Linked DNA regions of Canis lupus familiaris. Each later gene encodes a partner of the first gene's protein in a complex. Links are inferred from orthologs where the notes say so. Each region holds a gene or a part of one and is shown on either strand. Other genes may lie near its edges.

Region 1 (3,500 bases):
AAACTCAATAAGGGCAAAGAAGAAATTGCCAATAACTCATATTCCATCTCAAAGAATCTAACAACTGGAATGGTACATAGGCCATATATTCAAGTTTTCTGTATTTGTTTCTATGAATAGATAGTAGTCTAAGAATGGACAAGATAGTTCTGATTAACAGGATATGGATATGAATGACAAAAAGTTGATTAATATGGGCTAGATGGAAGAACAGTTCGGAAAATGACAGATATCCCCCTAACAAGCAAATCTATTTCTGTATATCATAGATTGAGTCCTTAATGATTATTAAGAAATTCATAGGTCTGCTTTGTTTTATTAAGTCAACTAAACAGACAATCCTCTAAGAACTTATTCCTAACCTTTAGGTGGCATCAATCCATACATTTTTCAGCACAAAAATGGTATGGATAGATCACTTTTACATGAATCTTTTAATTATGTAAGAAAATAAATATATCAAGAATAGGGAAGTTTTTCTTTACAAATCAATTTGTAACACCTTATAACCTTATAAAATAGCGACAACACTTTATAACCATTGTTGTTTACTTAAAATTTATTGCCTTCTACTTCTAAGAGAACAATGGACAAATATTATTAGGATGTAATGAAATATTGACCTAAAAGGACACAAAGGTGAAAGTTTCTGGGAATCAGGGATGGAATGTTACTATGCTTAGGCAGCAGATTCTATAAAAGTTTACTAACAGGTGAGGCAAAATAGGAAATTTGTTTTCTGACAGGATTTTCTAAATACACCTGCAAAAAATTTTTTCCTTAAACTAAATTTAAGAGAACACTGGATGAATTATTTTCTAAATAACAATATAATAATCCAAAAGGTAATAACTATATTTGTCTAAAAGACAAAATGTTGTGATTTAAAATACACATGGATTTAAAAATGCTGGCTTTAACAAACTTTTTAAGAACCTATATTTTTTTTACATATAGGTATTTATTGCACAATATGAAGTACTCCTAAAACCATGGAATTTGATTCAAAGATATAATGAAAACATGAACAGTAATACAAAACTTTAGAGGTAAGCATACATCTATTCTCACATAAAACACAGAAATTGATAGTTGCCATTATAAAAACATAATCAGGTGTTTTTAGGTAACTTAAACAGTTAAAATTCATTGAGGAAATATGCCTTACTTGCTCATTAACCTTCTTCTCTTTCTCCAACTCCTTTTCCATGTCCTCCAATTCTCTATCTTTTTGTTCCAATTGTTTTTCAAGTTGGCGAATTTCATCACGTAAAAACCGAGTGTCTCTTCCACCTGCAGACTGCTGTGCCAACTTAAATAAACCAAAAGTAGAAATCAATCCCATTAGAAGACTCAACAACAAATTGACTTTAAATTTGTTATATATAATCAGCACCAGATGTTTAAAATCATGTAAAATCCACCCAGACACTGACCTCTGCTGCTCTTAAACTACCCTTTCCCTTGTACCCTATTTAAACCAGGGCTGTCCAACAGGACTTTCTAGGATAATGGAAATGTTCTCTGAATGGTTGAGTAGCAGAGCCACTATCTACAAGTGGCTTTGTGAACTTCAAATGTGGCCACTGCAACTACGGAAATGAATTTCTAATTTCTATTGTAATGAATTTAAGTGTAAATAGCCACAAGTGATTAGTGCTACTGTACTGGATGGCTCAGACCAAGATCACCTTTAAAATCTTGGGCCAGATTAGGGCACCTGGCTGGTTCAGTAAGTAGAGCATTCAACTCTTGATCTCAGGGTCATGAGTTTGAGGCCCACGTTAGGGGGATAGAGTTTACTTAAAAAAAAAAAAAAAAAAAAAAACTCTTGTGGCAGATTAAATCCATTTCACTTCATATTCCTGTTATTTTCGGTCACAGTCCAAAACATATCCTTTGGCATCTACCTGTCTCACATTCATCTCTTTACCATACAGCTGTGTTATTCTTATATATTAAATAGCTTTTTCGGGATCCCTGGGTGGCACAGCGGTTTGGCGCCCACCTTTGGCCCAGGGCGCGATCCTGGAGACCTGGGATCGAATCCCAAGTCGGGCTCCCGGTGCATGGAGCCTGCTTCTCCCTCTGCCTGTGTCTCTGCCTCTCTCACTCTCTCTCTCTGTGTGACTATCATAAATAAATAAAAAAAAATTAAAAAAAATAAAAATAAAAAAAATAAATAGCTTTTTCTTACTCTTTTCCTCCTTCAGAACACTTTCTATTGTGCTCTCAAAAATCTTCTTTCAAGATACATTAATAAAATATTAATACATAAATACACTCTTGGCCCTTTTACTGAATCATGTTCTCCATCTCCCCTCCTTAGCTGCAATTTGGTTCCTTTAGTATACTAAATACTTTGGAACTCTTTGGAAGATGCTCATTCTTTCACATCCCATAGACCTCAGGGTCAAGAGAAGGTGTTGATTTACCTCAACTTGCAACTTTCAGGCTATCATTCTTCCACCATCTTATGAAAACTCTGGCTGCTATGAATTCCACATGATAACCAGCTATTCAATCCCTACCTATTCATGGTAGCAGCAAACTACTAACTTCCCAGTTGAGCCCCCTCAAAATTCGTTGGCAATTTTTGGCACATGGCTCATAGTGTTCCACCAAAAGACCCCATAAGCAGTTTTCATACCCATATAACTTTCATTCTAGTCTCTCTCTCTTCTTTTTTTTTCACATGCTTCTTGAATTCACTATAGCCTCCCACTCTCTTGCCCACACCAGAACCTTGTCCAGTGCAAACATTGTCTCATGATTCCTAGTATACCCACCCTCTGACTTCACAGGAGCCTCTAATTCCTTGACCCCTTTCTAACCTCTCATTCAAATCTTGATTTACCCATTCAGCTGAGATTTCATAATCATTATTTTAATCAACCACTTTCTTACCAATATCTCCCACTGTCCTATCCTTCCATTCTACTGTAGCTGTCTAAACACTAACAGAATCAATCTGATTTCATAATTCATTTAGTAAGTATTTATTGAGAATGACTGATATTTTTCTAGAATATAGATATATTATAGGGAACAAAAATAACTCATCCCACTTCACAGTTAGTAAATAAAAGAATCAGGATTTGAACTCAAACTGTCTGACTCCAGATCCCCTAATCTCCAGCTCATTCTCCACTGAGTACTTGAAATATTCCACAAGTATTTCAAGCTTAATTTTCCTTAAAATTTGATCACACATCTTCCACTCTTATTTTTAGTAAATGGGCCTTCACTCCAACCTCTCAACTTCTAGGTACTAAACCTATAAACATAAAAGCTTCTGCACACATCCATTCTTCCCATTACAAAGGAAGGTCGGGATCCCAGAGTGGCTCAGCGGTTTAGTGCCTGCCTTTGGCCTGGGGGCGTGTTCCTGGAGTCCTGGGATGAGTCCCACTTCCGGCTCCCCACAGGGCACCTGCTTCTCCCTCTGCCTGTGTCTCTGCCTCTCTGTGTCTCCCATGAATAAATAAATAAAATCTTAA
Region 2 (3,500 bases), on another chromosome or scaffold:
GTTAATTGAGTGATGCATATTCCACAGGAAATCCTTAGATAAAAATCACTTTTTTGTTTTTTGGTTCTCATTGTCTTCTTTTTTTGTATTCTTGGTCCTTGTTAGGGAAAAAAAAGATTCGTCACCCTATTTCAGTGCATTAATAAATGATATTTTATTCTTAGAGTGCAGTCTGCTAATGTCTGGCTTTTGCTTTCTTTTCCTTTGAAGTTGCTTTGTTAAAGATAAATAGTCATGGATTTTAAGATTAGATTGTGTGTAAATTCAGTATATACTGTTGAATTTATTGTTGTGGCAACAGTTAATTACAGTGTTCTTTTTCTTCCATGCACTTAGTTTCTGATAATAATGAAGACACTGATGGTGATGGTGTTCATGAAGTAACAAGCCGAGATAGTCCAGTTTATCCCAAATGTTTGCTTGATGATGATCTTGTCCTGGGAGTTTACATTCATCGTACTGATCGACTTAAGTCTGATTTTATGATTTCTCACCCGATGGTAAAAATTCATGTGATTGATGAGAATACTGGTCAGTATGTCAAGAAAGATGATAGGTAATTTTTTTAATTGCACAGCCAACCCTTGAAATTGAAACTGTCTACAGTAGAAGTCCTCTTTTCTGCCCTTGAAAGTCAATGGAAATAAAGCTAAGGATTTGTGTTAGAGAATAATTTACTGGTTATAGGTGTTCATCAACCATTGATACTGATCAGTATGTTTTATAGGAGAGATAGAGAACATCTGTTAATTTAGTGATTCATTTGAAGTAGAGGGGGTTCGAGAGAGCTTCTGCCAAACTTAATGACTAATTTATGGCATTGAACTTGCAGTGTAAATCACTGTGTGTTTGCACTGTACATGCTTTAATTGTCTAGCTTTATATCTTTCTTTTGAAGTTAATGTTATTTGGGCCTCAGATGAAGACAGTGAATCTTTAATTTTTTCTAATATTATTTCTATAGCTGATACATGCTTGAAGCTTATAAATAGGAAGCAGAGTAAAATAAATGATTATACTAGAATCTGAAAAAGTCATTTGCTTGGAAAAATTACAGGGATGAGGAACATGAAGATTATCAAAATTAAGTTGTTCAGTTATCTTAGGGCATACAAAAAATATGGCACAGTTGAAAGCGTTTGCAATTCTATTATGCTCGTTTTCTTTCAATGTGTACTGTACTATTACAAACTCATTTACGATAATGAAGGAGTCTAGCTCTGTATGCTGCACTCTCACTTTAAATTTCTATAATAAGATAATTCTGTGAAACCAATCAGTAGTAAATAAATACAAGATAGTAGGATGCTACCACTTCTACATCTTAAAATTTGTAATTTTCTCAGTGGACAACGAAAATAATTTTTCATTATATATCATGACTATTCATTATTTCTTCACCTTGAACACTATATTTTTTTTCTCATCTCAAAATTATCATAAAGAAATGTGTTAATGAAAGTATCTTTTTTTGGACAGTGGACGGCCTGTTTCATCTTACTATGAAAAAGAGAGTGTGGATTACATTCTTCCTATTATGACCCAGCCATATGATTTTAAACAGTTAAAATCAAGACTTCCAGAGTGGGAAGAACAAATTATATTTAATGAAAACTTTCCCTATTTGCTTCGAGATTTTGATGAGAGCCCTAAAGTCATCTTGTTTTTTGAGGTATGAATAGAATAGACCAATTAAAACTAGATTTTGGTTAATAGTTTAATAGCATAAATGTAAACTATTGTTTTTAGTAGTTTAATAATGCAACAAAATAGTGTGAAGGACTTAATCTCTAGGATTTAGTGTTTGTAATATGCTATGGAGATATAATTGAGAAATACAGGTAATAGCATATTTGCTGAGTATTTACCATTGTGAGTAATTAGCCGTGTAATTCACTCTGTATTATTTAATTCTGATAGTAATGCCATGACTGTAAACTTAAGTGATGAATCTAATCTATAGCTATACAACCCTCCATTTTTAACCCATTTTACAAAATGTAAACTCATTTATGTATCAGACCCCCTTAGAGTTTATATACAACTGAGAGAAATAAAGGTAAACATACACAGATCATTTGACTAACATAATGTAATATATAACCAAAATGAAGTAGAGCTTCCTAGATAGGGGAGGGTGAATGGAGGGTCAGAGCAATCAGGGAAAATTTTATGAAATAGATGGCCTTTGAGCCGAGTTGTTATTCTAATGTTTTTATGACAAAGGAAATCAAGGTTCAGAATATAAAATTTACTTACCCAAAGTTACTCCAATTTTAAGTGTAGGTAATTTGTAGGTGGTTTGAATCTAAAATACACATTTCTCTACTTTGTGACATCTCTCCCTAAGCAAAGAGAAGTGAAGAAAACCTCAGTTTAAGCAAGATGAGGAATTTTAGCATTGGAAAGGCAGGGGCATGACTAACGCCAAGGATTGATTTTGTGGAATGACTTGTTTTTATGCTCTTTTAACTTTCAGATGATCTGTATATGTTTGTGATACGAATATTCCACCATTACATCTGTGATTATGTTGTATGATTTATACAGAGCTGTGATTTTTTAAAGAGTGATGTAACTTGTTTGTCAAGGAACTTTTTCTTTGTCAGAGAAATTTGGTTATAATGTTCACATTCATTTTAGTAATATTCATAAATTTAAGAAAGATTGTTGGAATATGACATTTTTTTGTTGCTTCTTAAGGTTTTTTTTTGGGGGGGGGGTGGAGTTTTGTTTTTTTAGTTTTAGGAATATAATTTAGTGATTCATCACTTATATATAACATACCCAGTGCTCGCCCCCAACAATTGCCCTGCTTAACATCCATCGCCTTGCTTAGTCCACCCTCCTCCCCTCCAGCAACCCACAGTTTGTTTCCTGTAGTTAAGAGTCTTTTCTGATTTGCCTCCCTCTGTTTTTATTTTATCTTTTCTTCCCTTCCCCTATGTTCATCTGTTTTGTTTCTTAAATTCCACATGTGACTGAAATCATATGGTATTTGTCTTTCTCTGACTTATTTCACTTAGCATAATACATTGTAGTTCATTCATGTTGCACATGGCAAGATTCCATTCTTTTTGATGGCTCAGTAATATTCCATTGTACTTGTTTGTGTGTGTGTGTTTATACACACATACCATATCTTCTTTATCCATTCATCAGTCAGTGGACATTGGGCTCTTTCCATAATTTGGCTATTATTAATAGTGCTGCTATAAACATTGGGGTGCATGTGCCCCTTTGAATCTGTTTTTGTAGCCTTTAGATAAGTACCTAGTAGTGCAGTTGCTGGGTCATAGGATAGTTCTATTTTTAGAACTTCTAATACTGTTTTCCAGAGTGGCAGTTGCTTCTTAAGTTTTAATATAATCTATTGTCTACACAACTACTTTTGATTTCAGCTTTTAAGGATTTATTGAGGACAACTTGATATCTATAAGAAGTCTTTAAAATCATTATTCCACTTCTAAGTATTTTTACTAAGGGAAAATTTACATGAA
Region 3 (3,500 bases), on another chromosome or scaffold:
GCCACATCGTTTCTGGCTTCTCAGAAACAGGTTAAGACATTGTTACTAGCCCCTAAGAAGGGAAAACCGCCTGGGAGGCAGTGCAGACATTAGCATTTTCAGGGTCTGTGCTGCTGCAGGGAGCTCAGAGGGCCCAGAGAGGGTTTGGTACCTACCTTGCAGGAAACTCAGGTGGCAGCAGACACAAGTGCACGTGCTAGGCTCGCTTCTACCACTGCGTGTTGCCTCTTCTAATAACAGATACTCACAAGGCTTTTTCAGCCTGCAAACTTCCTAAAAGGCAGTTCCCAGCTAAGGAGTTCCACCAGTGCCTTTTTGGCAGGCACCAAATTTAGCAGGCTTGCTAGCTTTTCATGCCCCGAAGAAGCATATTAAACAAACAAACAAACAAACTTGTTATTGTCAGAAAATTTCAAACATAACACAAAAGTAAAGGATTACAATGGAATCCCTTCTACCCATCATGCAGCTTCAGTGGTTGTCACATTTGCCAACAAACATGATGTAAAGGCAGGGAAAGGGTTAGAAGGCCCACTCGCCTGCTCTTCCATGGGGCAGAGACCTCAGGCTGGCTCCCAGGTCTCCAGCCTGCAGGCAGGCAGCACCCATGGAGAGTTAGCATCTTTGACAATTTACCCTCGGCTGATACCCCTGTGTAACATCTTAATTGCCAACTGATGAAATTAAATGAAAAGAAAATATTTACATTTCCTCTAGGTGCATCTTAACGTGATACACAATTAGGTTTAATTTCTATGACTACCACCATCCTCTCCTCCCCACTCAATGCCAGCTTCTCCCCTCAAGAATCTCTGAGTTGGATGAAGCTGGGCAGTTAAGGCCCAAGGTTCTGCGGTTTGTTGTTGGGATCTCCACAACTTCCAAGTAATCTTGACCTTTCTAGAAACAGGAGAGGATGGAAAAATGCTTTAAGTGTTAAAATATTTTTGGGAATATTGAGTACTTTAAAATATGTGCTCTCAGCTGTTTTTATCTGAACTTCTAGAGTCTCTTCACTCTCTTGTTCAGAACATTTTGTAATATGTGAAACACTTTATAATTAAAGCTCTGAAGTGCAGATTAAGTTTGACATGAAATTGTGTAATGTTCAAATTGATTAATGACATTCTGTTTTGCAGGATTCTTGCCAGCTCCCAGTGGCTTTGTTTATAGAAGTGAAGTGGACCAAATACGGGTCCTTACTGAACCCACAGGCTAAAATTGTAAACGTAACTGCAAGTCTCATTTCATCCCCCTTTCCTGAGGTAGGTCTAACTGGGGTTTCGAGGTGTGGGTTAAGACAGAAGTCCAGACAAAACTCAAGCGTGATAGTGAAATTTATTTTGTGAAAAAGATTACTGAAATTTATTTTTTTTTATTTTTTATTTTTTTAGATTACTGAAATTTAAACAATCTGAATTCTTAAAATAATCTGGCACTTTCTTAGGGAAAAAAAAATTCCACTGACAACAGTTGAATTCACAGTAGCATTTTTGTTTGGAGCTGATCTTTAAAATTCTTTGAAAATGGAGTTGTGGTTGACATTGGTGGGTAGGACAGCCTGGGTAAAAACCCTCTCATCCAAGTGAGCGTATGAGGAGCCCTGCATGCGCCTAGGAGATGGGCTGACCGTGGCCCCAGGAGGGAAGGGAGCACAGGGTATGCCACCTTGTGACCCTGTGCACATGAGCACACACTGGAAGCAGGACTCACAACACTCTCTTTATTACAGACCGACTCAGGAAATGAGAGGACGGTTCTTATTTCCACTGCGGTTACTTTTGTGGATGCGTCTGCACCTGCGAAGGCAGGCTTCAGAGCTCGGCCAACCATCAATGCCAGGCTGCCGTTTAATTTCTTCTTTCCGTTTGTTTGACGTAAGTTGTTAATCAAGGAGACAGCACCGCACCTCCAGAATCGAGGGGCCTCGGCTCCCTTGGAGCCATCCTGAGATTCTACCACAGATCTGCAGGGTTGCCCTCAGACCACACACTTCCCCTCTCCATTCACTCTCCTCCTTTTGGAAATTTTATTCTACTTGGTTGACCTTAGAATGTGGCGCCACCTGGTCTTGGTGATTTCCAGTACTGTTAGCACATAGGTCATGTGCGGAAACCAAATTGAGCCTTTGGGAGGATGGGGAAGAGGACAGACCCTGAAGTAGCATAGGTGTTGAGGCTTTATCCAGTTTATCCGCCTCAACATGAGTTATTTTTAAACTACTTGTTGTAGTTCATGTCCCGTGGAGATAAATACAAAAATAGCAAAATACTGCATATAAACTCATGTGAGTAGAGTACACGGTCTCGTGAAAGGATCTCCCCCCAGTGTCGTCTTCATTACATGGAGTCTTGGGTCTAATTGCTGTTTCTGTGGCAGGCACTGGAGCTCTCCATCTGATGGGCTGTATGGGATGCCACAGAGCAGTTCCAAGCCTTTGATGCTGGAAAGAATAGAGTAGGAGGGCTCGAGGGAAAAAGTTTCTTTTATACGTTAATTGTACAGTAATTGAGAAAATGTTGTCAGGTGGCAGAACAGGGTAGAGCCAGTTAGAAAGCTGGTTGCTGCAGAGAGGGGGCTGGGTACCTGTGAACAACCTCCTGGGGGAATGTTAAAACAGTTTGAAAAGATAAGACTTTTCTAGAATGGGCTGGTAGCCAAGGTAGCTTCCTTTTTTCTTTTGTCTTTCAGAATGCTCACATGAAAAGATGCACTGGTTCCTCATACATGGGAAATGGGAAAGTACATTTGATGAGATTAAATTTTATATACAACTAAAAGTTGTCCAGCTTCGTTGTTCATTTTCAAGCAAGAGTCAGGTGTTCAAAATGAGAAAATATAGTTTGTAATACATTGTGATATGGGGTGAGAATGGGACGGGAAGCTCTTGATCACACCAAGAAAGAGTGAGCCTTCCCTTAGACTCCCCCCACCCCAACCCCCCAGAATCTGAGCTGGGTCGGGGGTGAGGCAAAGGCATCAAACCAGATCTCTCTCCCAGACGGTCCCCAGGAGGGGCAGCTGTCTTTCTTATCAGAGGTGCAAGCCTGTGAGGCAGTCTTGTCTTTGGGACGAAGCAGGTACATGTCTAGTTGACTTCACCAAGAAGTCCATGCTGTCTCAATAGCTTGTTCAGTCTTTCAATTTCTTGTTCCTGTTATTAACAAAGGCAGACAGATAACTCAGTTTTACCTTCTGAACCTTGCCAGGGATGTGGCAATTATTTGATGGGCCCCAAGGATGCAAAGCTGAATGGAGGCTACATTCCTGGTGGAGTCTGCCAGTGGAGCCTGCTACGGTCAGCTGGGGCCCAGTGGGTGACTGCAGTGACAGGATGTCCAGAGGAGGGACACCTGGCATAGCTCTGGGGAAGGAGGTGATGCCTAATCTGAATCTGAAAGGACAAGGAAGACTGAGCGAAGGGTGATATCTGAGCAAAGGCCTGGCGGAGTGAAGCTCTGTGCTGAAGGCAAACAGATGGCATTTTCCCAAAAATGTCT
Region 4 (4,002 bases), on another chromosome or scaffold:
TATGTACATCAAAGTATTTGTAGCTCTTTTTAACTTAGTGATTATCTTCAAAACAAAAAAACAAAAAAACAAAAAAGAAAAAAATTAAACCCAACCTCCCTCCCCCCCCCCCAAAAAATCCCACCAAAGAAAATTAAGTCATTTTTAATGGTACATGAACTTGGATTTGATCTTATGTTGTGTTTTTTCTTTTTGAGAAAAAAAATTCCCCAAACTTGCTGTACAGAGATGGAGGATAAGCAAGTGGCAAACATTTTGAGAACTGCCTGTATCACTACACAGACAGACAGACACACACACACAACTAGAAGAAATCTGATATTTGTCTGGGCCCGGAGGTGGGGGTGGGGGTGGGGGTGGGGGCGGGGCATCTCTGCGCCCTACAAGGGCGGTGCACGGGATGCGCCTCTGCACCCCGTCCCCTCTATTCATGCCCAAAGCGGGGTTTACACAATTTTAACGGGTGTAGGATTCCAAACTGAATGACAGTTAACTTGGCTTCCCATACGCCACACAAGAAACCAAAGTCACGCAATAAACAAGATACAAGAGTAAGAAGTTAAAGAACCAAATACCCAGTCGGTAAGTGCCTGGTAGGGGTCCGCTCTGGGTGCCTACTACGTCCCTGCAGTACAGGGGTCTCTAGTTTGTTCAGAGATCCGTCGGAAGAAGCCGTGTCTGGAGAATCTGACAGCGTTCCACAGAAGTCCCCCCCCCCCTTTTTTAAATATTTTATTTATTTGTTCATGAGAGACACAGAGAGAGAGAGAGAGAGGCAGAGACACAGGCAGAGGGAGAAGCAGGCTCCTCGCAGGGAGCCCGATGCGGGACTCGATCCCGCATCCCCAGGATCACGCCCTGGGCTGAAGGCGGCGCTAAACCGCTGAGCCACCCAGGAATCCCCAAAGTCCTCCTTTTCAAAGGAGTTTTAATCCGTCTTTGGCCCTTCCAGACCTCTCCTGGTTCAGCGACTAGAAGTTCCCGGCTCCTCCGGGCAGCCTTGGCCTTGCCAATCGTCGGTTCCTGGTACCCAGAGCCTGTTCTGACCTCCGCGGGGTCCTTCTCGCGCACCGCCCTCGGGCCCCTCCGGGTTCCCCGCGCCCCGCCCGCTCCGGGTCCAGCCCCGCCCCCTCCGGGTCCAGCCCCGCCCCCCTGACGCGAACGCGCTGCGGGGCGGGGCTTGGCGCCCCGCAGGCAGGCGGAGGTCCGGCCCAGGAGCTGCGGCCCAGCGAGACCCTGGGGAGCCCCCCTCTCGCAGGCCCCGGAGGCCGGGTCGCGGGGAGCCAGGCGCGGGCCGCCGGCGGTTGCGCCGAGGGAGCCCCGAGGGGGAGCGCCATGAGGGCGGACTCGGGGCTTCGGCCGGAGGCCCACCCGGTGAGCGGTGAGGGGCGCTGCGGCCACGGGGCGTGGCGGAGGCGGGGGGTGCAGCCCGATCGCCTCCGCGGCTCCTGGGGCGGGGCCGCCGCCTAGGGCTGGGGCCGCCGAGGGCCGCCGAGGGCCGCCGAGAGCCCCGCTCGCCGTGCACGCGCGTCCGCCCCTCGGATGCTCACAGGATTGGACCGGAGCGGGCGATGCAAGTTCGTCCCGAGGCCGGGAGCCGAACCCCGGGAGCCAGGCGAGGACCCGGGCGTGCCGATGCCCGGGCCTGAGTGGCCACGTTGCTGTGACGACGCCTCTCTGCTTAGCCTTCCGGGCCCCTGGGTGCCCCGGGGCTGCCAGCTAGGCCTCTCCTGCGGACTCCTCCCGGAGGGCCTCTAGCCACCCAGGGAGGAGACCGCAGTTTCCTGGCGGAGACCATTGATCATGGTCTTTCCCCACCGCCCTCGAACAAATCCCTGCAACCACTCGGAAACCATGAGCAGAACCGTGGTTGTTGCCCCACGCCCGCTGGAGTCTCTCTTCCCGGGCATGTCAGCCCCCCACGCCCACGGCCCCCTTTCCGCAGGGCTGCACTGCAAAGGCCCGACCGGCCCCCGCCCCCCCCCCCCGCCGCGTCCTGCAGGGAACCGGCTGAGTGTCCGCCAGGCCCGGGCGGCGCAGGCCGATGACGCACGGCGCCTGCGCGCGGCGGCCCGGGCGGGAGCCAGCCGGGGACAATAGCGAGCCGGCCGGGGGGCGGGGCGGGGCGGGGCGGGAGCCGGCCGGGGGGCGGGGCGGGAGCGGACTGCGAGCTCCCGGCTGCGAGCTCCCGGCGCGCGGCCGCGGGGAAGCCCGGCGTTGGACGCCATGGGAAAGAAGCAGGTGGTAAGCCAGCCTCGGTTCCGTTTGAGTCTCTGGGATTTTGTGTCCGGTGGAGCCCTCCGACTCTTGAGGAGCCGGAAGGTCGGCGGTGACACGTCATTTTCGCGGGAGTTTTGAAAACGTGCAAGCGTCGTGTGACCCGAAGCCTTGGGCAGGACGCGATCCGTAGCCGCCTGACGGTGGCTCTTTCCTGGACTATTGCTCTTTCCCGGTGGTGAGGTTCATCACTGGATAGTGTTGAGACAGCCTGCTGTGTCCTGATCTCGTAGCATTTGTATTAATACGCTGACCGCATGGATCGCTAAATGGGACGGTCGTAGAACCAACGAAAAAGAAAAAGTGTCTAAAAATGTAAACCCTTTTGAATCAGTGTCCCCTGCAAGCAGCATGAGACACTTGCAACATTAAACTGATTTCGAGACATTGCTGATAGTATTTTATTTTGAAAGATTCCAGAATGCGTCTCAACTGTAATCTCTCTGAATGGCAAACACAACTTTTCTTACCATTTGTTAAGTTTTTTGTTTTTTTTTTAATTTATTTTTTAGGGACGCCCGGGTGGCTCAGCGGTTTAGCGCCGCCTTCAGCCCAGGGCGTGACCCTGGAGACCGGGGATCGAGTCCCACGTCGGGCTCCCTGCGTGGAGCCTGCTTCTCCCTCTGCCTGTGTCTCTGCCTCTCTCTGTGTCTCACAAATAAATAAATAAAATTTTTAAAAATGAATTTATTTTTATAAGGTTTTTTTTTTTTTAATTCTCTCTGCCCCAAAATGCAGTCTCATACTGTATTCAGAGTGATTTTATCTTATTTTTTTTTTAAGTATGTTGCTATGTGGTTTAAAACCTCCCTTGGCTTCCCACTGAATTAAAATAAAACCTGGACACCTTTTTGTCTTTTTTTTTTTTAAGATTTTATTTATTCATGAGACACACAGAGAGGCAGAGACACAAGCAAAGGGAGAAGTAGGTTCCATGCAGGGGGCCCGAGGTGGGACTGGATCCCAGGCCTTCAGGATCAGGCCCTGGACTGAAGGCGGTGCTAAACCCCTGAGCCACCCGGACTGCCCCCTTTTTGTCTAAAAAGAGCCTAATTAATTAATCTGGCCCCTGCCTGTCTTGATAACTATGCTACAGCCCTACCCGGCTTGCTTCTTTTATCTGAAACCGTTTCTCCTAAAAGGCTTTGTATTTGCTCCCCTTTATCTCTTTTCTTCTTTCTTGTTCAGGTCTCAGCTCGGAAGTCTGAGAGACTTTCTGTAACTAAAATAGCACTCCACATTCTCCCTCATTTGTGTGTGTGTGATCTTCTAATACTTAACCACTAGAATGGAAGTTCCATAAAAGCAGGGATTTCTGTTTTGTTCTTTAGTGCATCTGTAGTACTTAGAACAGAGCCTGGCCTCTGGATAGAAAGGAGTATAGGAAGGAAGGAATTTTATATGAAATTTAGAAATGTTAGAACAATTTTAGAATTGCCCATCTGATTCTCAAGAGTACTTCCTCTGTTGCATTTGATAAACAAGGTTATCAAAAGATTTGAAGTACATGAAATGAAGATGTTCTGAGACTTTTACTTACAAGCGATTTTCTTTTTCTCCCCATAGCGTCCTCCACGAGCCCTTCCACCTGTGCCAAGGTAAACATAAGTTAGAGATTGTATCATTGAGTTTTAAAAATGCAAAATGAATAAAGTGAAAAAGTCAACTAGTTCCATTGCAAAATTATAATAATTCAGAGATGATCTCTTGAAAATTTTAGGAAAA
Region 5 (3,936 bases), on another chromosome or scaffold:
GCATTTTCCACATGCATTAAGAATTGTGTGTATGTGTATTTTCTTTAATAGTGTCAGATCCTCATTTTTATTACAAAATAAAAAAGAGTTTTTTGAGAAAGCCCAAAGTTGTTCCAAGCTGCGACTGATGAATAAGATGGCTAAAAATTATGCCGGATGATTGTACTGGGAGAGCGGGGGGATGTGAGAACAAGATAAAACAAACACAGTCCAACAAAAACGGAAGTGAGATTTAGATATAAGAAAAAAAATGCAATTTTCTATGATCTGTAAACTGCCTCTAAAGCTAATTCTAAAATGTTTTGGTGAACATTTTATGGGCCTCCCGGGGTGCTTGCTTTTGAAAGGCAACATTCACGTGTGCGTACGTTTGGTTAAAAATTAGGTTTCTTCTTTATTCACGAACGGGGTAAAGATGATCTCATTTTATATACAGGATTTCCTTTATCCAAAACGAGGAAACTGGAAACACAATGAAACGTCTGCCCGGAAAAGACCTTTTTGAAATGCTCAAGCCAATCTTCCAGCATTGCCCATTTCAAATCAACGGGGGTGTTTTTTGTTTTGTTTTTCTACCCTTTTATTTCTATTTTTTGTTTTTCTACCTTTTAAAAATTATTTATTTTTAAAATTTTTGATTTTTAAAAAAAAATTTAAAAGTTTTTTTAAACTTAATTTTTATTTTTAAAATTTATTTGTTTTTTATTTAACTTTATTTTTATTTTTTTAACGGACACACTTCTCAGGACACATGCACTGCTGCAATGTCTCCTTTAACGCGAAATCGCCCGGTCTGAATAAATTCTGGTGTAAACGTCATTCAACAGCTCCACGAAAAAAATACTTCCTCTCAATCTGCGTGATACCATTAGAGACTGCCGCGGGGTCCCGTTCACCGACCCCCGGAACCGGTGTCGCGTCCCGGGAACAGGTGGCGGCCCAGGGCGGGCAACACGCCTCCCATCGCCCGCCCGGCCTCCGGGTCCAGCCCGCCTCCCGCGGCGGCGCGGTTCCCCTGGCAACGGGGCAGCGGCCGCAGGCACTTCCGGAAGCCCGACGGAGCTGTCCAATCAGCTCTGCAGACTCGCCGCGGGGGCCGATGGGGCGCCGGGGCGTGCGCAGACGCCGGCGTCCGCACCATGGCAACGGGCAGCGGAGGGGTCGGGGCGGCCATGGCGGCTCGCTGGGTCCTGAGCTTGTGCCTCCTGGCGGTCCTCCCTCGGGCCCCGCACGCCCAGACCTTCTCCTTTCCCTTCGTGCAGCCGGAGTCGTGCGGCCACAGCCAGCGCTTCGACATCTCCGCGCTGTCCTGTGTCCCGTGCGGGGCCAACCAGCGGCGGGATGCCCGAGGTGAGCCGGCCCGGCGGGGCCCAGGCGGGGCCCTGACGCCCCGGCCTCGGGGAGAAACGTCTGGGGGAAAGGGAACCGCCAGCGCGGGAGGGAGGGGTGTCCTCGGAGCACCGCAGCTTGTGCGGGGGCGGGGGGGTGGTGAGCCCAGGCCTCGGGCGCGGATCCCCTGCTTCCCGGCGGACGGGTCTGCAGGCGCCCTGCAGGGCGAGAGGGACGGCGGGGGGCGGGGAGGGGGCGGGGCGGGGGAGGGAGGGGCGCGGGAGGTTACGTGTCTGCAAACGGGACTCCAAGTAAAACATATACAATAATAATTAATAATAAAATCTGTTATTGCTTTTATTTTGCTTTTTAAAGATTTTACTCAGTTATTCATGAGAGACACACAGAGAGAGAGGCAGAGACCCAGGCCGAGGGAGAAGCAGGCTCCACGCAGGGGGCCCGATGCGGGACTCGAACCCGGGACCACGGGGTCATGACCTGAGCCCGAGGCAGATGCTCAACACCCAGGCGGCCCTTTGCTAGCGCTTTGATCTTGCATTTCAAAGGCCACAAACCTAGAGCTAGAAGGACCCTAACCAGGATGAGGTCCAGTCTTCTCCTTTTACAGGCGAGGAAATTGAAGCCCAGCCGGTGTTGTAATGACCCTGTCTGTCGCCCACACCGCAGCTCGGGAGGACCGGAGTCTCTCTGCCCTCAGCGTAATTTCCCCTACATCGTGTGTCCTTAACGTAGATTTCCTTAGGAGTCGTCCCTTTTGTTACTGAATATTACTGATTGCTCTTGAAGTCTCTTGAGAGTAAGCTTATTTCTTTTTCTTGAAACATGTGTCATTTGGTCCTAGTTCTCCCCCTAGAGAGGGGGAGAAGCTGCACAGAACAAGACTTTTCCCATATTACTAAGGAACAGAATTGGCATAGAGTAGAATAGACCGTATTCTGAGGTCCAGGATGTCTTCAATCTCGATTTGGTCACCCACGATGTCAACCCTCTGCCATCTCCAAATCTGATATATCCTCCTGTAAGTCATGATGTCAGGCTCCCCAGGTGAGGAAATACGAACGAGAAAGCGTTGCACAGGCTCCTAAAGTGTAGGGTGTTGGCTTCATACTTAGGAACCCAGATAGCGTATGCATCTGCTGCATAGATTTCGGTGGGTGCTGTTTCCACCTGATGTCTCCTTAGGGACTGTGGTCCTCACCCATCCAGCAGGTTGAACAGTGATCATCTTAGTCTACCATCTATCCAGAGGAAAACAATAATTTATTTGAATCAAGATAACTTAGTTCATAAAGTTTTGTTTTGGCAAAGTAACTTGGAAATCATCGAATATATGTATGTGGTCAGATGAAATAGAACCGTACAGTTTCCCATAACGGTTAACGAAAACTCTGATTATTAAAATTAAAGTCCAGTACTCCAGTAGTTCAGTGATGCTTGCACTTAAGTAGCAAGCACAATACCTACTGTGTGCCATACATAGTCTAAGACCTTTCCATATAATAACTCATTTACTACTCATACCAACCCTACGAGGTAAGTACTGTTATCGTCCCCATTTTGGTGAAATGGAAACCTAGGCACAGAGTTCAGTAACTTGCTCAAGGTCACACAGCTAAGTAGCAGAGTTAAGATTAGAGCCCACATAGTACGTTTCCAGATGTGCTCCTAACAGCTGCCCTGGTTTCCAGGATCTTGAGAATATTGAAAATTTCCCCATCTTGGAGTTTTATTTTTATTTACCAAGGTCAAAATTGGCTCTTTTCTTTTTAGGAACTTCATGTGTGTGTCTGCCGGGATTTCAGATGATCTCTAATAATGGAGGACCTGATATTATTTGTAAAAAGTGCCCAGAAAACATGGTATCAAGTATTTATTTTGAAATAATTTTACTGTAAAACGTAGTAGATTGAATGTCTTTATTTTAAAATTTGTATTTGTTTATTTTAGAGAGTGGGGGAATGTGCAGAGGGAGAGAGAATCCTTGAGCAGACTCCCTGCTGAGCACTGGGCCCAGTCCCAGGACCCTGAGGTCTTGACCTGAGCTGAAATCAAGAGCCAGTGGCTTAACTGACTGAGCCACCGAGGCGCCACTTGAATATCTTTATTTTTTAAACTATGTTTTAATGCTGTACTCTAATATGTTCTCAAATTCTAAAATTACTAAATTAACTTTGTTTTAACTAGAATAAATTTTAGGAGATCAGTGAAATTTTATACAAGCTTGGAATAAACAAATGTATTGCCTGAGTTTTTAAAATCTGAAATTTAAAAAGCCACAAAGCTGTGAAAATGTGTCTTTATGTTCTTTATATTTTCTCACAGAGTAGCTCTGTCTTAAAAAAATAGATAAATGATACAAAGAGCAAGTTGGGATATGTGTATTTTTAGACTAGTACAGATTGAGTTATGTGTCTTGGAACTACTGTGTCAATAGTTTTATAACAATATATGTTCATAATGATACATAAGGTGTGATCAGTTCATGAGTTGCCAATTGTATCATTAAATAGGTTAAATAGTATCTGTTGCTGCTCTGTTAGTCATATAACTTTTTGAAAATTAGTAAATTAGTACTATATATAATGA
Region 6 (3,703 bases), on another chromosome or scaffold:
GAGACACAGGCAGAGGGAGAAGCAGGCTCCATGCAGAGAGCCTGACACGGGACTCGATCCAGGGTCTCCAGGATCGCACCCTGGGCCAAAGGCAGGCGCTAAACCGCTGCGCCACCAGGGCTGCCCCATAGCAGATATTTTTATACAGCTCTTGTCGTAGTTTAGAAACATTTTAGGATCCAATTTTTTTTGTACTTCGTAATATAAATATTTCCCCACGCTGCTACAAAGTTTTAATTGGTATTATTTTTAGTGGTAGTATAGGATTCCTTTACTTAGCCATTCAGCAATTGTAGAAGAATATATAGACGGTTCCAAGTTTGTTTGTTTGTTTTAAGATTTATCTATTTGAGGGAGAGAGAGTGTGGGTGGAGGGGCAGAGGGAGAGGAACAGAAATCCTCAAGCGGACTCCCGGCTGAGCACAGAGTCCATGCAGGGTTTGATCCCATGACCCTAAGATCATGACCCGAGCCGAAACCAAGAGTTGATGCTTGATGCTTAATTGACTGAGCCACCAGGCACCCTCACCATTCTGTTTTTAACAAAAAAATTTTAAGTAGGTTCTACACCCAGCATGGAGCCCAGTACACAGGGCCTGAACTCATGACCCTGTGATCAAGACCTGAGCTGAGATTAAGGGTCAGATGCTCAACTGACTGAGCCACCCAGGGGCCTTTTAATATAAATATTTTGACAAGTATTTTAACAAATTTGTGAGCAACTTTGCATATTCAGTTCTCTTTCCTTTTGAATCATTTCTTTGGAATAAGTTCTAACGTTCGGAATTTGCCTGAGAGGTAAAAAAGTACTTTTATAGCCCTGATTATTTTATTGAGAGAGCATTCATGGATTAACTTCTGCTTATATTACAGTAACCACCATCCTGCTGGACCCCCACCCCATCTGGCTGGTGGGAAGGGCTGCTGAAGCTCCATTTGTCATTAATGCTGTCATCCGATACCCAGTAGAAGTAATTTCATATCCTTTCAGTTAAAGAGCCACAGTAGCTCAGTTTCCAAAAAGGAGGGTTCCTCCGTCATCCCCAAAAGCAACAGATGTGGGAAGCCTTTGATTGGAAACTGCTAAGGTATCGTGGCCCCGCTCAAATGACTCCATCTGCTGTTCATACAGGGGGAATAATACTCATTTCCTCTTCATATTTCTCTCTGGGCAATTCTTCAGGTCAAAATCATCCATATTTATATCTTAATCCTCTTTTATCATCCCTTTTATATTAAGGGTATTTGAAACATTTTTGCCATTTCCCGTCTAAACTAAACCTTTGGTTTAACTTCCACTTAGAAAATATCATCTGGGACTCCTTAACTCTCTGTACATATCTACCAGGATTCTGGGAAATGATCAAGTTTGCCTGGATCCAGTATGTCAGTATCCTGCTTATCTTCCTCTGGGTGTTTGAAAGAATCAAAAGATTTGTGTTTCAGAATCAGGTGGTGACCACAATCCCTGTCGCAGTAATGCCCCAGGGAGAAACATATAAGGAGCACTTATCATAAGAAGACCACTTGTGAGAACTAAGCAGGACCCTGGCTACCTCCTTATTGTCTGAGAACTGCCATCTTAAGAAATTTTTGCAGAGAGCCCATGGACACGTGCCAGTGTGTATGCTTTTCCTATCAGAGACAAAGCACAATCCTTTCTCATTTTTCTCTATACAAATTCCGTATTTTGTAAGCACCTCACCCGGGACTAGTTTGTAGAAACATCTGAGGGTTCCTGAAAGCTATAATTTGCTTCTTTTTTTTTTTTTCCTTGCCTTAGGCTTCAATTTCAGGAGACAACTACAGTCATTTTAGAACTCTTGGAAAGAATCCCATCTCTAGTCGAGCAAAGACTTTTCCTCTCTTGAACTGAGAAACATGCTATGCATTTCTTCCCACTATTGTAAACCACTTTTTACTCTTTTCAGGTCTCTCTTGTGAGAGATGTGCAAATCAGTAAGTAGCACTTTCCACTACTGAGCATCAAAATTTCCCACTCAAAACTTTGGTTTCCAGCACCGAGAGGCCATGAAGGGGAGAATGGAAGCGCCCGAGAGCACATACACGAACACGTGTATGGGTGGGTGACTCCAGGACACTAGGACCATCCACCTGCCCTCCGGCTAACAGACAGTCGTCTTATCATTATTAGCTCAGCTGAGCGGCCCTTTATCCCTGCCCTGCCATGGCTGGCTTGTTGCCCTGCCTTTCGCCCTTTCTGTGCCCCTGGAACAGCAGGCTTCAGCCAGAGTGCTGTTTCGTTCACAATCCCCTCGGCAACAGTGGGGGAAGTAAGGATTGCAACCGCAGTTTCTTTCTCTGGCCCTCATCCAACAGCCTGGACAGTTGCCACTCCTCCTCCTTGACAGCCCTCCCCTTTCTCGAAAAGGACGTGGGTGACAGAGGAGCTGTTGTTGGTATTGGCTCCCACTGCCAACAACCACAGAGTTTATTTGGAGGGCTAGCGAGCGGGAAACCCAGCACTTGTATTTCCCTTGATGAAGGAACAGGGTGCCCATCAGAATGAGCGGCTTTGGGGCGGACACACAAGGTGCAGCAAGGGGATAAAGAGGATGCTCACCCAGGCAACTTAATCTGGCCTGGCCATTAGCAGAATGTCAAGTAGTCCAGCAGGTTCACCCTCTTGCCTAAGTGAGCGTCTGTAGGATGGGACGACTGAATGCGGCTCTGTCGCGCGTGAAGACTAGTTCTCCATTCTTGCCTTGAGGAAACAAACCGTCCTCAAAGGATAAATGGATCTACTTTATGATCCTGAGATATCATTGACACTGAGACATGCCTGCTCTGATCCATGCTAACATACTCCTCGGTGAATGCTGCAGTTTACCTTGGAGATTCAGTTGTTTCCAAAGCACCTTTTCTTCCAGGCTGACCAAAATAAAAGTTTTGGAAACAGCTGTTTTGAAGTATTCAAGCACAAAAAATAGCTTAACACTGGCCCCTCTGCCTTTTCTTGTAATATCTAGGGCTGTTTATATACCTAAGCATTTTTTTTTTCTTGAGGTAGAAATGAAAAAAAGGGTTTCTGGATTGAATCACAAAAAGGTAATGAGATATGGAAAAGAGCTAAAGACATGATAAACACTGCTTTGCATTTTGTTAAATTATTTTAATGCAAAATTTGTATAAAGAACCATGATATTTTTTCTACCTTTCTAATTAAAATACTCAAAACGGAAGGTTTCTTGTGGCTTTTTCAAGAGTTTGGAAAGGGGGTGGGGAGGGCAGAGGTTGCGCACACTTCTCCGCGTTACTCACCGGCAGCTATATGTTGCCAGGTCTCTGCCCAAAGACCTTGGAACTTTTGTTAGCTCTTTGGCAAGTCCCCTGGTCTGGCCCCAAGTACTTGTGAGTTTTTGGTGGAATCCACATAGCATGTGGAAAACACAGGCTGGAAAATTACAGCTGTGTCTGGTGAATATCAAATTATTTACAGATCAGATGTTGGTGGCTTCTGAACCGGAATGAAACAATGTACCTGCGAGAGGGAGAAAGGTGAGTAATACACAGGATTTTACCAAAGGAGCTGTAACTCAGAGCTAAGTCAAGGTTTGAAACAATTAATATTTGTTGATTGGGATGGGGGAGATCTCTAATTTTGCACAATGATTATCCAGTTTCTGTGACTCAAGTGAGGCTCCTGAGCCCCTGCTTAGGTCCCATCATCTAAAAATTTGGT
Region 7 (4,275 bases), on another chromosome or scaffold:
GGCGCCCCTGACATAGCTGGGTTTTAAACCACTAGGAGCCCCTGGTTACTTGATAACCACAAGCATTCTGCTGAAAAGTGACTTTTGTATAATACTGAGCTTCAAAAGTGACAAGGAGTAAAGACAGGTAGAATTTGTGGGAGAAAGCATTTTAAGTGGAAAGAGGGTGTGAGGAGTGGGGGAAGGGAGTATGACCAAGTCCCTGGAGAGCAGACCTACACTCTGAGCTGTGTTGTTGCGGTGGGGACCCCACCCATCTGGCCTCCTCAGCCGCAGCATCTCCCATCAGACTACCCACAGCCCCCTCCCCTAATCAGTTATCCTTGCTCAGCATTCCGGAAGAGGTCAGTGGTCCAGGCTGGCCTTGACTCTTCCCTCCCTCTCCTGCACAGGTGTCTGAAGGGAGCCCCCCTGGTCTGCTTCCAAGCTAGCAGCTGGCTACGGTGGGACCACCCCCTGGGGTCCCTGCTGGGGGCATGGCCTCCTGGAAGTCTACACACCTGTGCATCCCTTCCTGGATCAGAGATAAGGTCTCTAATGCCACTTTGACAACCTGGCCTGGGACCAGACAGAGGAGGCAGTGAGGCTCTTTAGCCTGTTTAGTCCTGGATGTGAATGCTGATTCGGCGACTTACCTGCTGCTGTGACTGTGGCCCAGCCACCTCCCCTGGGAATCTGCTTCCTCTCTGAGTAGTGGCCATGTATTCAAGTATTCATTCATGCAGCACTGTTACCAGGGCTTCTATGTGCCAGGGAACTAGAACTCAAGATCCGCGTGGCCGCTGGGCTCATGGAACAGCGGGCTGCCTAGAGAGGGGAGTCAGGATAGTGATCAACGTGCAAATACAAACCACAGTGTGTGCTAAGACGAACCGGATCGATGTGTTAACCGAAGCTATGACCACTCGGGGCGGCCAGGGGGTTAACCGGGCAGTGCCGTGGGTTCTGGCTCAGTCTTCCTCCGACGGCTGGAAGACTGGGATGCCAGGTGCTGCTCCTCCGTGGGCCTCCGTTTCCCCCTTTCACACCGAGGAGCCGTAACTCGGTTGTTTGAGGCCCTCCCCAGTTTGTTTAATACACTTTTGGTGGGGGGCAGGGGCCTCAAAGCCCCAGGGGACCCGCCGCAGTCCCCAACCGGGGACTCCGCAGAACCCGGGCGGCCCAGCCCCGGCCCGACTCGCGGCCTTCGCGCGCGTCACCTCCACTCGCGGCGGCGATCCAGCTGCACCGCGCAGGCTCCCCTCCGCGCGTCCCCGCCGCCGTCCCCCCGGTAGCGCCACAGCGCCACCTCGCGGCGGAGGGCATCGGCCCCACTTGGCTTCCGGCCGGCGGGAGGCAGGGCGCGCCTCCGCCCTGCGGGTGTGACCCGAGCAGCGGCGCGGCTAGCTTCTACACCGCGGGCGGACCGTTCCAGCTCCGCCCCCCGCCCCGCCCCGCCCCCAACCGCCGGCTGCGCTTGCGCACTGCCGCACCCGTGCTTTCTTTCGCGAAGGTGCCTTCCCACGAAATGTGTCCCACGCGCCACGCCGTCGGTTTCCAGGGCAACCCGGCACCTCTTAGCAGCCCCGCGCGCCGCGGGGGTCGTTTCCTGCGCCCCCAGCCCTGCCATGGCGGCCGCGGGCCCCAGCGTCTTCCTACTCATGGTCAACGGGCAGGTGGAGAGCGCCCAGGTGAGCGGCCGGGGACCCCCGCCCGCCCTCCCCCCAGCCACCCGCGGGGGCCCGTCCCGCCACCTCCCGGGCTGCTGCGTGGCCCCGGAGAGGCGCGTCTGTCGGGTCAGGCGGGGGACGGGAACCAGCGTCTGAGAGACCAGGCCTGTGAGCCCTGGTTCTGCTCGTGTCCGCTCCGTGGAGTCCCGGGCAGGAGCCTAGCGGGTGTAAGGGGAGGAGCGGAGACTCGCCCGGGTTGCTGGGCCCCGGCCCCCCAGCGCTCTGCACTCTGAACCCTGAGGTCCTTGCATTTGGGTTAGGATGGAGGCGACCTGGTGAATGTGCGCCAACGACGGGGGTGGTGGAGAGGTCCGGGGAGGGTCTGTCGGGTCTGACCGACGCGGACGCTGCTCCCCATCGCCTACACTTGGGGAGACCCATTTGTCGTATTCACATGCATATAAGTGCACCACGAATTCGCCACGTGCCGGACTCGGTGCCCAGCACTGCGCATTCGGCCCTCACCACAACCCTGGGAAGTGGGTGTTACTAGCATCCCCATTCTACAGATGGGGACACTTGCCCAAAGGGAGTGGCAAAGCTGAAATTTGAACCCAGGTTGCCTGACACCAAAACTTTGGTTCGTTACCCTTCCAGGCTGTTGGAAGATGGTATTTATTGTATTGTGGGGATTAAGTGAGATGGTTTGGGCAGAGCTCTGCCAGGACCTCTTACTAGGTCTCTCTTGCCTCCCTGTTTCATCGGGATAATGCTCCCGTGTTCCCACCCTGTCCACCTGCCCCTGGCCTAGCGTCCAAGACTGCCTTCCCTTCTTCTGTTCTGTCCCATTAGGGGCCCTTGGCTGGGCTGGATCATGCCTCTCTGCTCTGTCAGCACCCATGCCACTCCCACTGTGCCTCCTGCTCAGTTCTGGGTTCCTCCCTCTCTCCAGGCCTTGAGCTCCAGCCCTGTGTATACTTCATGTCCTGATAGCATCCTTTCACTTCGGCAATGTTCCCTAGATCTCTTCTGTGCCCCCTTGTGCCAGGCTCTGGGGGACACAGAAAGGTCATTGCACTTGTTCCCTCTTCACAGTCAAACAGGGTTGACAGAAATAAAGGAGGTATCAAAGCTTTGGTGGAGGGAAGGACCAGGGCCTGACAGAGCTGGGGGTGGGGTGGACCTTAGAACGTTTTGAAGGATGAAAGGGAGTTTGCCAGATGGAGGAATGGGACGGGCAGGGCAGCCCCGGTGGCTCAGCGGTTTAGCGCTGCCTTCGGCCCAGGGCATGATCCTGGAGACCTGGGATTGAGTCCCACGTTGGGCTCCCTGCATGGAGCCTGCCTCTCCCTCTGCCTGTGTCTTTGCCTCTCTCTCTCTCTGTGTCTGTCATGAATAAATAAGTAAAATCTTAAAAAAAAAAAAAAAAAAGGAATGGGAAGGGCATGTCAGACAAGGTGGAGCCTGGGCAAAGGCTCAAGGGTGGTTGCAGCCTGGGACTGTCCCTTGGACTCCCACATCTCAGGCCCCAACCCTTCCACTGAACTCCGTGTCCCCATCCCCGGCTGTCTCTTAGACTCTACCCCAGGCACCCAGTGTCAGCATCCCTATTGGCTGCCCTTAGCTAGCCACCGCGGTGCCTCCCCCTCCACAATCCCTGTAAACAGAACCTGTGTGTGCTTCTTCCTACAGTTTCCTGAGTATGATGATCTCTACTGCAAGTACTGCTTTGTGTACGGCCAGGACTGGGCCCCCACGGCGGTAAGCTGGGCTCTTGGGCCTCCCTCCCTCACAGCCTCCATGCTTAATGGGGTTTCTGAAGGTGTCGATGTCCACCATACCCCTTCGTCTTCCAGTTCAGAAACTGTTGAGAGGTAGACACCGAGCTCAGGGGGTTCCAAACATGACTTTGTTCCTGGTAAAGCTGGAGCAGAGAAGGTGGAGCAGCCACCTTCAGGCTCCTGATCAAAGCTGCGGTCGCTCACACACCCTGTCCTGGGAACTTGCACTTGGCAGCAAAGAGGAACGTGTGGGCGGCACAGACCCCTGAGGGCCAGCCTGGAAGTATCTGGGCGGTAGGTCCTCTGTCCCTCTCCTAGCCCATGAGGAGGACTCTGGGAAGTCAAGAGGCCGAATAGAAGCTCTGCTTGCAAGACCGGCCTCAGAGCAATCTGTCTCCACAGACAGCCAGGCCAGAGTCCCAGTTTCGTGGGGCGAGGTAGACAATAAGTACTGATGTTCTAATATGTTCTAGGAAAAAGTGCCGGGGACAGAGTAAAGTCAGGAAGGGAGGAATGGAGGGTAGAGAGAAGCTGGAGTCTAGGTAAGGTGGCCAGGGAAGGCCTCCCTGAGATGGTAACTTTGGGTAAAGGGTGAAGGCAGGAAGGGAACAAGCCACACGGAGGTCCGTAGGGAGAACTGTGCAGGCAGAAAGGGCAGAGGTAAAAAACAACAACAACAACAACAACAAGAAAGGGCAGAGGTGCACAGGCCCTGAGGTGGGAACGTGCCTGGCGTGCCCAGCATGCCCAAGGCACAGGGAGGAGGCCTGTGTAGCCAGTGAAGAGCATGAGCAGGGATGAGAGTGGCTGGAGATGGAGCAGGGGGGTTGAGGATGGGACAGGCC

What was found.
Region 2: CEP290 (region 1) and AHI1 share a complex: the UniProt entries of both Homo sapiens proteins name them as parts of the tectonic-like complex. The link is inferred for Canis lupus familiaris from reciprocal best matches to the Homo sapiens genes CEP290 and AHI1.
Region 3: CEP290 (region 1) and TCTN1 share a complex: the UniProt entries of both Homo sapiens proteins name them as parts of the tectonic-like complex. The link is inferred for Canis lupus familiaris from reciprocal best matches to the Homo sapiens genes CEP290 and TCTN1.
Region 4: CEP290 (region 1) and TMEM237 share a complex: the UniProt entries of both Homo sapiens proteins name them as parts of the tectonic-like complex. The link is inferred for Canis lupus familiaris from reciprocal best matches to the Homo sapiens genes CEP290 and TMEM237.
Region 5: CEP290 (region 1) and TMEM67 share a complex: the UniProt entries of both Homo sapiens proteins name them as parts of the tectonic-like complex. The link is inferred for Canis lupus familiaris from reciprocal best matches to the Homo sapiens genes CEP290 and TMEM67.
Region 6: CEP290 (region 1) and TMEM231 share a complex: the UniProt entries of both Homo sapiens proteins name them as parts of the tectonic-like complex. The link is inferred for Canis lupus familiaris from reciprocal best matches to the Homo sapiens genes CEP290 and TMEM231.
Region 7: CEP290 (region 1) and B9D1 share a complex: the UniProt entries of both Homo sapiens proteins name them as parts of the tectonic-like complex. The link is inferred for Canis lupus familiaris from reciprocal best matches to the Homo sapiens genes CEP290 and B9D1.

The regions. Positions count from the first base shown.
Region 1 is NC_049236.1:29,573,394-29,576,893, forward strand, and holds part of CEP290 (centrosomal protein of 290 kDa), read right to left. Parts: intron 1,313-3,500; coding exon 1,169-1,312; intron 1,050-1,168; exon of another isoform or gene 985-1,049; intron 1-984. UniProt on the Homo sapiens protein: Involved in early and late steps in cilia formation. Its association with CCP110 is required for inhibition of primary cilia formation by CCP110.
Region 2 is NC_049222.1:28,401,027-28,404,526, reverse strand, and holds part of AHI1 (jouberin), read left to right. Parts: intron 1-336; coding exon 337-556; intron 557-1,479; coding exon 1,480-1,672; intron 1,673-3,500. UniProt on the Homo sapiens protein: Involved in vesicle trafficking and required for ciliogenesis, formation of primary non-motile cilium, and recruitment of RAB8A to the basal body of primary cilium.
Region 3 is NC_049247.1:8,665,633-8,669,132, forward strand, and holds part of TCTN1 (tectonic-1), read left to right. Parts: intron 1-1,139; coding exon 1,140-1,265; intron 1,266-1,732; coding exon 1,733-1,876; 3' UTR 1,877-1,877; intron 1,878-2,691; exon of another isoform or gene 2,692-3,088; coding exon of another isoform or gene 3,089-3,154; intron 3,155-3,500. UniProt on the Homo sapiens protein: Component of the tectonic-like complex, a complex localized at the transition zone of primary cilia and acting as a barrier that prevents diffusion of transmembrane proteins between the cilia and plasma membranes.
Region 4 is NC_049258.1:10,565,182-10,569,183, reverse strand, and holds the start of TMEM237 (transmembrane protein 237), read left to right. Parts: upstream 1-1,202; 5' UTR 1,203-1,335; coding exon 1,336-1,374; intron 1,375-2,144; exon of another isoform or gene 2,145-2,226; coding exon of another isoform or gene 2,227-2,244; intron 2,245-3,843; coding exon 3,844-3,875; intron 3,876-4,002. UniProt on the Homo sapiens protein: Component of the transition zone in primary cilia. Required for ciliogenesis.
Region 5 is NC_049250.1:39,308,564-39,312,499, forward strand, and holds the start of TMEM67 (meckelin), read left to right. Parts: upstream 1-1,136; 5' UTR 1,137-1,139; coding exon 1,140-1,350; intron 1,351-3,120; coding exon 3,121-3,209; intron 3,210-3,936. UniProt on the Homo sapiens protein: Required for ciliary structure and function. Part of the tectonic-like complex which is required for tissue-specific ciliogenesis and may regulate ciliary membrane composition.
Region 6 is NC_049226.1:75,839,675-75,843,377, forward strand, and holds the end of TMEM231 (transmembrane protein 231), read left to right. Parts: intron 1-873; coding exon 874-979; intron 980-1,337; coding exon 1,338-1,518; 3' UTR 1,519-3,203; downstream 3,204-3,703. UniProt on the Homo sapiens protein: Transmembrane component of the tectonic-like complex, a complex localized at the transition zone of primary cilia and acting as a barrier that prevents diffusion of transmembrane proteins between the cilia and plasma membranes.
Region 7 is NC_049226.1:41,067,449-41,071,723, forward strand, and holds the start of B9D1 (B9 domain-containing protein 1), read left to right. Parts: upstream 1-1,475; 5' UTR 1,476-1,607; coding exon 1,608-1,670; intron 1,671-3,341; coding exon 3,342-3,410; intron 3,411-4,275. UniProt on the Homo sapiens protein: Component of the tectonic-like complex, a complex localized at the transition zone of primary cilia and acting as a barrier that prevents diffusion of transmembrane proteins between the cilia and plasma membranes.